Macaca mulatta: one gene and its partners. The protein of the gene in region 2 interacts with the protein of the main gene of each other region in a biochemical or structural test. Links are inferred from orthologs where the notes say so. Each region holds a gene or a part of one and is shown on either strand. Other genes may lie near its edges. The genes, in order: COPZ1, TMED10 and COPG1.

What was found.
Region 1: the proteins of TMED10 (region 2) and COPZ1 form a complex in vitro, tested with the Homo sapiens proteins (2 studies listed by BioGRID, with this or other methods). The link is inferred for Macaca mulatta from reciprocal best matches to the Homo sapiens genes TMED10 and COPZ1.
Region 3: the proteins of TMED10 (region 2) and COPG1 form a complex in vitro, tested with the Homo sapiens proteins (2 studies listed by BioGRID). The link is inferred for Macaca mulatta from reciprocal best matches to the Homo sapiens genes TMED10 and COPG1.

Annotation. Positions count from the first base shown.
Region 1 is NC_133416.1:61,543,336-61,545,809, forward strand, and holds part of COPZ1 (coatomer subunit zeta-1), read left to right. Parts: intron 1-213; coding exon 214-291; intron 292-446; coding exon 447-498; intron 499-2,068; coding exon of another isoform or gene 2,069-2,107; intron 2,108-2,136; coding exon 2,137-2,361; 3' UTR 2,362-2,474. UniProt on the Homo sapiens protein: The coatomer is a cytosolic protein complex that binds to dilysine motifs and reversibly associates with Golgi non-clathrin-coated vesicles, which further mediate biosynthetic protein transport from the ER, via the Golgi up to the trans Golgi network.
Region 2 is NC_133412.1:148,368,062-148,372,203, reverse strand, and holds the start of TMED10 (transmembrane emp24 domain-containing protein 10), read left to right. Parts: upstream 1-1,306; 5' UTR 1,307-1,340; coding exon 1,341-1,565; intron 1,566-4,142. UniProt on the Homo sapiens protein: Cargo receptor involved in protein vesicular trafficking and quality control in the endoplasmic reticulum (ER) and Golgi.
Region 3 is NC_133407.1:154,684,845-154,688,497, reverse strand, and holds part of COPG1 (coatomer subunit gamma-1), read left to right. Parts: intron 1-600; coding exon of another isoform or gene 601-631; coding exon 632-774; intron 775-1,108; coding exon 1,109-1,280; intron 1,281-1,668; coding exon 1,669-1,766; intron 1,767-3,653. UniProt on the Homo sapiens protein: The coatomer is a cytosolic protein complex that binds to dilysine motifs and reversibly associates with Golgi non-clathrin-coated vesicles, which further mediate biosynthetic protein transport from the ER, via the Golgi up to the trans Golgi network.

The DNA of each region.
Region 1 (2,474 bases), on a different chromosome or scaffold from region 2:
TTTGAATCTCTTTCCATACATTCCTTATTCAGCAACCAAGAGTAGAAAGGGGTTTTGAGTGAACTAGCTAAAAAGTTCTTCACCTTATTTACTTCTTTGTGTGGTTGGTGGAGATGTTTATTGGTCTAGTTTAGGTTCCTCAATTCAGACAAGGTCCTAGGATTTCTTTCACACACAATTTGGTTTTTTTCTTCTCTTCTCTTGGGGACTCAGGAAAAATGTAGAAAAGCGAGCACTGCTGGAGAACATGGAGGGGCTGTTCTTGGCTGTGGATGAAATTGTAGATGGAGGGTAAGTTCTCTGACCTGCCTTGATCTTGGGTGAGGTAGTGGGATAACTGCCCCTGTCCTAAGTCAAGCAGGCTCAGCGGCCAGAGGTCCTGTTCCCCCACAGTGAGTTGGGCATTCGGGACAGAGTGAACAGTGATCTCTTCTTTGTTTTTGCAGGGTGATCCTCGAGAGTGATCCCCAGCAGGTGGTACACCGGGTGGCATTAAGGGTAAGCAGGAATGTGTTTCTCTGCATCCCCGCATCTATTCACAAACACCCTCCACAGCCAGACCTGCTGGATGTGTCTAGTAGTTGGGGCTCATAGGATACATAGAACCTTCTCTTTTTCTTTCAAATACATTCAGCCTTTCTCTTTCCTTCCCTTCTTATTGTCCCAAAGAAAGAAGAAGAAAGAACTTATTTCTACCCCTAATAAGGTACCTAACATCTCATACAGTCTTTGCACAAAGTGGACATTTAATACATATTTATTTAATAAGTGATAAAATAAACTAATATTTATGGTTTTGAAATTATAAAGGAACTTGAAGTTGGCTTATTTCCTTCTTGGAGATGGATCCAATCATCTGAGGCAGAAGAGTGTCTTTTTTGTCTTTTAAAGTGTTATATAGGACTGGGTGTGGTGGCTCACACCTGTAATCTCAGCACTTTGGGAAGTGGAGGCCGGTAGATCACAAGGTCAGGAGATCGAGATCAGCCTGACCAACGTGGTGAAACCCTGTCTCTACTAAAAATACAAAAATTAGCTGGGCGTGGTGGTGCGTGCCTGTAATCCCAGCTACTCGAGAGGCTGAGGCAGGAGAATTGCTTGAGCCTGGGAGGTGGAGGTTGCAGTGAGCCAAGATTGCACCACTGCACTGCAGCCTGGGTGACAGAGTGAGACTCTGTCTCAAAAATAAATAAATAAATAAATAAATAAAGTGTTACATAACTGAGGATGGTGCCTCTCCATCAGGAAGTACGTATTTGCCAGAACCTCAGAACCTCAGTCCTCTTTGGTGCTAGTGATATCAGAAAGGGGCCTCTGAGTTAACCATAGAAGGCCCCAGGTCAGCTGAGGAGATAATGGTGGATGCAGAGAGCCCACAAGCAAATTATACGGGTGCAGAGATGTCTGAGCAAAGCAAATTCTCCCCATTCACAGAATGTCCTGGCTCTGACCTCCACAGAGTGAAGGCTGACAGTGCTTGGTAATGGGAAATCTTCTCCCTTAACTGCTGTGGGCTCCATTTGCATAGTTTAATCTTCTCCTCTAACATATGTCTCTATGTGGCAAGAGAGAGGGTCCCCCCACCAACTCCCCCCTTTCTCTTCTCAGGCTGCTGTTGCAGCAGTTTATTTCTTCAAATTAACATGCTGTCGTTACCCATCAGGCTTTGCGGGATCCATTAAACCACTCCTGGCTCCCCCTCATCCTTTCCCTAGCAATACTGATACTCAGAGAAGGCCTTTTCTGACTAGAGAATCAGGTCCTCCACCCCCAAGTTAAGGGAGTTGAGGATCAGATAACCTGCTGGTTACTCGGAATGGAGTTAAATCTTTTAAGAAGTCCTCCTGCCTTAAAATGGAAGCTGGATGAAATGACCCTTTTTTGTTCATAGTCCCTCTGGCCAAGTAAAACTGTAGCTGTCCTAGTCCCCAGAAGGGACTGAGAAGTTCAGCGCATCTGCCCTTTGTTTCAGTTTAAAGGATTACTTTTTTCTTCTCTAATACCAGACTCCAATCAGGTCTTACTCCAGCTTTCTCCCACACTAAATGCTTGTATCTCTGTGCCATAGGGTGAAGATGTCCCCCTTACGGAGCAGACCGTGTCTCAGGTATGACTTTCTCCCTTCTTCCTTTCCAGATGGACTGCATCACTAAAGAGGCTAGAACAGCATTCCACCCATACCTCCCAAGTCTGAGTGAGACTGGAGACTCAAGACACATCTTTCTTGGCTCCCTCTTATTCCAGAGAACTGGGACTTATATAGCCAGCTACTCCCTACCCCTACTTCCAACTCCTTTCTTAGTTTCCTGTGAACAGTGGCTGTCAACCTTGCTCTGTACCCTTCAAACCTTCCTTGCCTGATGCCTCATTCAGTGATTTATTCCCCAGCAGAGGCTTGCCTTAAGCAGATGGTCTGTGTGCATTTGTGCATACACTCTCTCTTTCTCTTATTATTCAAATGAGGGCTAAGCTGG
Region 2 (4,142 bases):
CTGGAGTGCAGTGGCGCCATCTCGGCTCACTGTAACCTCCGCCTCCCAGGTTCGAGCAATTCTCTGCCTTAGCCTCCCAAGTGGCTGGGATTACAGGCGCCCGCCACCACGCCCGGCTAATTTTTTTGTATTTTTAGTAGAGATGGGGTTTCACCATCTTGGCCAGGCTGGTCTTGAACTCCTGACCTTGTGATCCAAAGTCACAAGGCCTCCCAAAGTGCTGGGATTACAGGCATGAGCCACTGTGCCCGGCCGTTTATTTTCATATATTCTTCAGCTCTGAATATTTGATAGCATCTCAGTAATAGTTTGTTAAATCAATAAACGTGTGGACATACATGCATAGTATAGTGTCTGGCACACAGTAGGTACTCCATTGAATGAATGTATGAATTATTACCATGTCAATTTGCTTGTCTATTTGCAATTGATCCCTAAAGTGTTTGTGAACTTACAACACACACATATTCACTTTCCCTGACAACACTTATCTGCTAAACCCTTAACTATGTTCATCTGAGACTGGACCAAAACATGTTGTTTTATTCAATTTAAATACCAAATTCAAATTTGTTTTGAATATAGCTTAGAAGACATTCAATGTTTGCTAAAATAATAATAATAACAATAATAATAATAATAATAACACCATGTACATTCAGTTAGCCAGACAGTTAACTCCAGCCCAAATACCCTGCTCTGGGACATGAATTGGATGTCTGCCCGGCACACATTCATCAGGTAACCTCTACAACTTCTCTAAGGTACTGGTCCACACTCGCTAATAGCCAAGTTTAAATCTTTCCTCGAAATTTTCCTCTCTAGTGTCTCAATGCCCCAGGTGTCATCCAGGTGTCAAAGGCGCCGAGAGTGCCTTGCAACCCGCCTCAGCCTCGGAGACTCGGCCTTACTCCCCGCCCGCGCGCCCAGCCGGCCGGTGGGCGGGCCCAGCAAAGGGTCTTGTGGCTGTTTCCTATTGGGGCTTGGTTGCTATGGTGTCACTCGCCTTTAAACTCTTGGGTACATCTTTCGGAAGTTAAAGGAGAATTACTTCCAGGGTTGCCCATACTTGCCATGGCCGACTTAGTAGTCACTAAGTTCAACGAAAATAAAACTTTTGCAACAGTATTCTATTAAAGCTTCTTTAACCACTTAAGTTTGTGGTTTTGACATGGTACCTATCCCTTCTTCCCTTTTCAAAAGATTCGCTACAGATTCTTTCTCTATTTGCCAGACTCCAAAATGGCGCGGACGGCATCAGTAGGTCAGAGGTGAGTCACGTGGGTCCTCCCGGTTCCGGCGCGGTAGAGGCCTTGGGTGGTGAACGAGTCTCCAGCACCATGTCTGGTTTGTCTGGCCCACCAGCCCGGCGTGGCCGTTGTCCGTTGGCGTTGCTGCTTTTGTTCCTGCTCTGCCCCAGCTTGGTCCTCGCCATCTCCTTCCATCTTCCCATTAACTCTCGCAAGTGCCTCCGTGAGGAGATCCACAAGGACCTGCTAGTGACTGGCGCGTACGAGATCTCCGACCAGTCTGGGGGCGCTGGCGGCCTGCGCAGCCACCTCAAGGTGCGGCACTGGGCGACATGGGGCCGGGAGGGAAGACTGCAGGCTTAGGCGAGGGGAGGCCCGGGTTCGGGGGAGTCGGGCGGGCGGAGGCCCGTGAGTTGTTCTCGCCTCTGGGGAGCGCAAAGGACGTGCGGTGGAGCCCGCCCCCTCACCCCGCTGGTTGCCTTTCGCGGGGCGGGGCTGGGCACCAACGCCTGGGAACCCCAAGAAGGGCTGCGAGGCTTTGGCGGATGTGGTGACACCTGAGCTGGAGCGGTTGTTGTCAACGTCCTATACCAGTTTTGGTCTCAGATACCTTGAACCGTAACTTGGTTCTCCAAATAAGTGTTGGGATGTTGAATATTTATGGGAATTGGCATCATAAGATACCGCGATACCTGCAGGAAAGTAATGGAGACAAAGCTGTGATTAATAGAATGTTATTGAGCATCTGCTGTGTCAGTTACTGTGCTGCTTTGCATATATTACCATTTGGTTCATGCACTATCCTATGAAGTAGATAGGTACTGTTAGCCCCATTTTACAAATGAGGAAACTGAGACTCAGAGGTAGAATAAACTAGTGTCACAGATGGAATAGATTCTTTTTTAAAAAATTATTATTATACTTTAAGTTCTAGGGTACATGTGCACAACGTGCAGGTTTGTTACATATGTGTACATGTGCCATGTTGGTGTGCTGCACCCATTAATTCGTCATTTACATTAGGTATTTCTCCTAATGTTATCCCTCCCCCATCCCCCCACCCCACGACAGGCCCCGGTGTGTGATGTTCCCCGTCCTGTGTCCAAGTGTTCTCATTGTTCACTTCCCACCTATGAGTGAGAACATGCGGTGTTTGGTTTTCTGTCCTTGCGTTGGAATAGATTCTTACTTAGTTTGGTAGTTAAGTATGTTGAGGGAAAAGCGCTGCAACCTTATTCCTTCCTTGTTTTAAATTCGTAATTTCTGTAATTGATTAAAGTCTATTATTGGTTACAAAATGGTCTCAGTCTCTAGTCCTTTTTCTTTGGTATACCAGAATCTGGACTTGGCTACTTTTATGTAAATACCAACTGTGCTCTTGGATGGTGACAACTACTACCATAATACTAGTTTGGTCCCATTCTGTAGCTAAGAGTAGCCTGGCCTGGTCTTTGAGACATTAATATAATTTGATATCTGTCAGTATTTGGTTGTATTTTAGGTAATTTTATTCATTCACAATAAGTAAAGTGTCTTTTTTTATTTCTTTGTAACACAATGAGGCTTGCTTTTCTTATGCTAAATAGTAAGAAACATTTTTACCTTTTTTTTTTTTTTGAGACGGAGTCTCCCTCCGTCGTCCAGGCTGGAGTGCAGTGGCACGATCTCAGCTCACTGCAGCCTCTACCTCCTGGGTTCAAGCGATTCTCCTGCCTCAGCCTTCCAAGTAGCTGGGACTATAGGCACCCGCCACCACACCCAGCTAATTTTTGTGTTTTTAGTAGAGATGACGTTTCACCATGTTGGCCAGGATGGTCTCGATCTCTTGACCACGATGGTGATCCGCCCGCCTCGGCCTCCCAAAGTGCTGGGATTACAGCCGTGAGCCACTGCGCCCGGCGGCCTCGTTTTTACTTTTTAATAGAGTTTCAGATATAATAAGACCGTTACTTATGTTAAAGTAGTGGAACCCAGTAGTGTGGTAATACATGTAGTTTATTTCTACTTTATTTGGGAGAGATAAACTATTTTCAGGGCAATTAATCTGTGACCCATCCTTTTATTATTCTCTTTGGGTACCAAACATCTCTCTACCCAGGAAAATAGTGATGGCATGATTTTAGAAGCTTAGACATAGTGTTTCCCGGGTGGGAGATCATGCTTCCAACTCTTCAGAGGATGTTCATGGACTCAGGGAATTTCAGCAATGAAAGAGACCTTGCTCTCATCTCCACTGTTGCTGTCTGATTTGTTCTTATATTTTAAAGCCCTTCAGTGGCTCACTATTGCTTATTGATAGTTTAAATTTCTCAGCATGCTTTGTTGTGCTCTTCATGATCTGTTTCTGAGCTATATGTGTGGTCACTTCCCACTTTGCATTCTACATGGAGCCACCCTGAACAGTACCCTGAACTCACCTATTTTCTGAACTGTTTTTGTTTATGCCTTGACCTACTTATTAGACTGTTAGTATCCTCAGGGTAGGAACTATTTTCAGATTCATCTTTTCAAGAATGCCAGGCATATTACCTTGCTTCTAGTAAGTACTCTAAATAACAGGAAATGTAGTTTAGCATGGCCTTATGGGAATTACATTGAATCTAGGGCTGGTGAAGGGACCTCAACAGCAGGACTTTAGGCCGGGCTTGGTGGCTCATGCCTGTAACCCTAACACTTTGGGAGGCCGAGGCAGGTGGATCACCTGAGTTCAGGAGTTCAAGACCAGCCTGGCCAACATGGTAAAACCCGGTCTCTACTAAAAATACAAAAATTAGCTGGGCATGGTGGCGTGTGCCTGTAATCCCAGCTACCTGGGAGGCTGAGGCAGGATAATCACTAGAACCTGGGAGGCGGTGGCTGCAATGAGCTGAGACTGTGCCACTGCACTCCAGC
Region 3 (3,653 bases), on a different chromosome or scaffold from region 2:
GAATGCCAGGACCAGCCAGGGTGGGGTCCCATGGGCCTGTGCTTAAATCCAGTGCTTGAACCTGGCCATAGGGTGTAGGCATAGGTCTTAACCAGACACAGACCATTCTAAGTTGGGTTTTCTGCAACGCTCTCATTCTGAAATATCTCTTTATTGGCCATTTGTCTTAACTGACAAATATATAGGACCAGTTTGTTACTTTGTCTGATTTTGTAGCTATAGTAGTATCGATCTTATTTTCCTAATTGATCTTATTTTCCTAATTGTCACCTTCTTTTAAGAATCCTTGCTGAGCTAGGGGGTGGAAATCCTTGCTAAGCTTCTAAAACCGGGGGAATCTCCAATTAGGTCTAGGATTTTGTGGTCTCATATCAGTGTTTTGCTTCTGAGGTCTTTCATGGTACAGAGATGGGGAGAGTATTTGTTGGGGGTTGTATCACATGAGCAAAGTCAGGGAGATGAGAAAATGCATGGATATATTCAGGAAATAATGAGTAGCCAGGTGGGTAAACATATTTATCCATCTAAGGTAGGTGGAACACCTTGAGAATGGTCATGGGAATTTATTAGAAACCATCACAAGTTGGTCTGGGGATTTAGAAGCTGAGTGAATGTGGCCTGTGGATTTCAGAGCAGTTGGCGGCGGTGCCAGAGTTCCGGGGACTTGGGCCCCTCTTCAAGTCCTCGCCTGAGCCCGTGGCCCTCACTGAGTCAGAGACGGAGTATGTCATCCGCTGCACCAAACACACCTTCACCAACCACATGGTTTTTCAGGTGAGCAAGGTGGGCTGAGGCCCTGCTGGGGCATGCGCCCAGGGAGTTGTCCCAGGTCTGGCAGGTCCTGTAGGGACATGGGTCCCCACACTGTGTTGGTTGGGAGCCCAACTTGATGACAGAATCTGTCCCCAACATGCCTGTCTCACATATCTCTTGACCCAGGGCCTCCATGGCTCCTGATTATCAGCATGGAGACAGGGAGCCTGGGGCAGGGGGACTGGGATGGGAATCACCTTGGTCAACAGGAAAGAGGTGGGACCTCCTGGCTCTTCCTCTGCAGCATGGATCAGACCTAGAGCAATGTTTAAGCTCCCCTCTCTTCCCTGTTCAGTTTGACTGCACAAACACACTCAATGACCAGACCTTGGAGAATGTCACAGTGCAGATGGAGCCCACTGAGGCCTATGAGGTGCTCTGTTATGTGCCTGCCCGGAGCCTGCCCTACAACCAGCCTGGGACCTGCTACACACTGGTGGCACTGCCCAAAGAAGACCCCACAGCTGGTGAGACCCTCTCCAGATACCACCCTATCCTTATGGGAGCTCATGGGATCAGGAGGTGGGCGACTGGGCACCAGTTGTTTGCCTTTTATTAGAGCTTCAGCTCCTTGATTTCAGTCCCAAGAAGAATAGCTGAGTCCCAAATGCTCTTCTTTAAAAAAATTTTTTTAAAGAGACAGGATCTCACTAGAACTCATGACTTGACTTTCCTGTCCTACAAGGTGGCGCCCTCTGTCCAGCTTTGTAGGATTGTATGGCTTGTTGCTGCTACTAATAACATAGCAGGGGCCTAGAAAGCAGGCTGTGACCCCTGCCTGCTTGTTCCCTGCAGGAGGAGCCCGTCCCCTGCAGTCTGGGGACTTCCTAACTACCCAGTCTCTCTTCCCCACAGTGGCCTGCACATTCAGCTGCATGATGAAGTTCACCGTCAAGGACTGTGATCCCACCACTGGGGAGACCGATGACGAAGGCTATGAGGATGAGTATGTGGTAAGAGCCTGGTGTCAGGAAGCTCAGTTTTGTGCTGAGGCTGCAAAGCAACTCCCTTCAGAAACTGACAGACAGACTGGAGCTGTTTTTGACTTTTTAGCTCTTTAAAATTTTATTTTATTATTTTATTTTTTGAGATGAAGTTTCTCTCTTGTTACCCAGGCTGGAGTGCAATGGCACGATCTCGGCTCACTGCAACCTCTGCCTCCCGAGTCCAAGTGATTCTTTTTTTTTTTTTTTTTTTTTTGAGACGGAGTCTCGCTCTGTCGCCCAGGCTGGAGTGCAGTGGCCTGATCTCAGCTCACTGCAAGCTCCGCCTCCCGGGTTCACGCCATTCTCCTGCCTCAGCCTCCCGAGTAGCTGGGACCACAGGCGCCCGCCAGCTCGCCCGGCTAGTTTTTTGTATTTTTTAGTAGTGAGGGGTTTCACTGTGTTAGCCAGGATGGTCTCGATCTCCTGACCTTGTGATCCACCCGTCTCGGCCTCCCAAAGTGCTGGGATTACAGGCTTGAGCCACCGCGCCCGGCCCCAAGTGATTCTTTTGCCTCAGCCTCCCGAGTAGCTGGTATTACAGGCGCCCGCCACCATGCCTGCCTAATTTTTTGTATTTTTAGTAGAGACAGGGTTTCACCATGTTGGCTAGGCTGGTTGCGAACTCCTCGCCTCAGGTGATACACCTACCTTGGCCTCCCAAAGTGTTGGGATTACAGGCGTGAGCCACTGCGCCTGGCCTAAAATAACTTTTTAAACTTATGGAAATACATGTTCATGTGTAAAAAGAAAACTTGGGAAATACAAAAACAAAATACAAAACAAAAGTATGAACAACAGGAAAACATTACTCATAATCTTCAGAGTTACTTTTGGGGGGCAGTGGTATAATTGGAATCATTCTTATAATGTAGACCTTGCTATTTTAAAACCATAGTGTATTTTCCAGTGTCATTACAAATACTTCATAAACACAATTTTTTTAGTGGATTTAAAATACTGTTATATACTATGTCAAAACTTGATTGACCTTTCACTCCTTGAATGTTGGGCATTTGGGTTTCCATATTTTCACTATTTATAATGCTGCACTAAATATCCCTTTAGATACAAATTTTTATCTGCATTTTAGATTATTTCTTTAGGATAGATTCCTAGAAGGAGAATAATTGGGTCAAAGGGTAAGCATGATTTTAAGACATTTTGATTCCTTTTGTCAAATGCTTTCTGGATACATTTGACCTGTTTGCCGTGCTGGGCAGTCCTTTCATGCACTGGAATAGCCCTTCTAAATTCTCCTATCTTAGCTCGATGGAACTAAGTACAGGATCCTTCTGGGGTCTGACCTTGGGGCAGTGGCTCAGGGCCATCTGAGTGCAGACCATTACGCTTAGCCTGTGGATGGGGATTGTTAGAACTCCTCCTGACTAGAGGGACAGTCATGGTGGAATACAGCTGACATTCACCATTGTGTCATCCTAGAGTCACAGTTGAGGATGGATGGACCTTCCTTAAGCTGGAAATGACCCTGAGGCAGGAGCTGCTTTAAGACCAAGTGAGCTCCTTGAGAGAGCTGGGTCTGTTTGAGCCCACCCAGAGATGATAGAAAAAAAAAAAAAAAGAGCTGGGTCGAAGTTATATTTATATACACTGTAAACATCCACAGGAGTAGGGCCTCAGTGAAAATCTGATGGGAGAACGAATGGGGAACCTTCATGTGGACTCAGTGGGAGTATTATGTGTCAAGTTCAGAGAAGACACAGCTGAAATGGAGACAGAGATTCAGGATCTGTCAAATCCAGAGGACACAGCTGGGGTAGGAGGTTTCTGCTGAACTAGAAACAGCTGCTGCTCCTGAAGAGCTCATCATCCCCTAGAAATGACAGGCATAGGAAG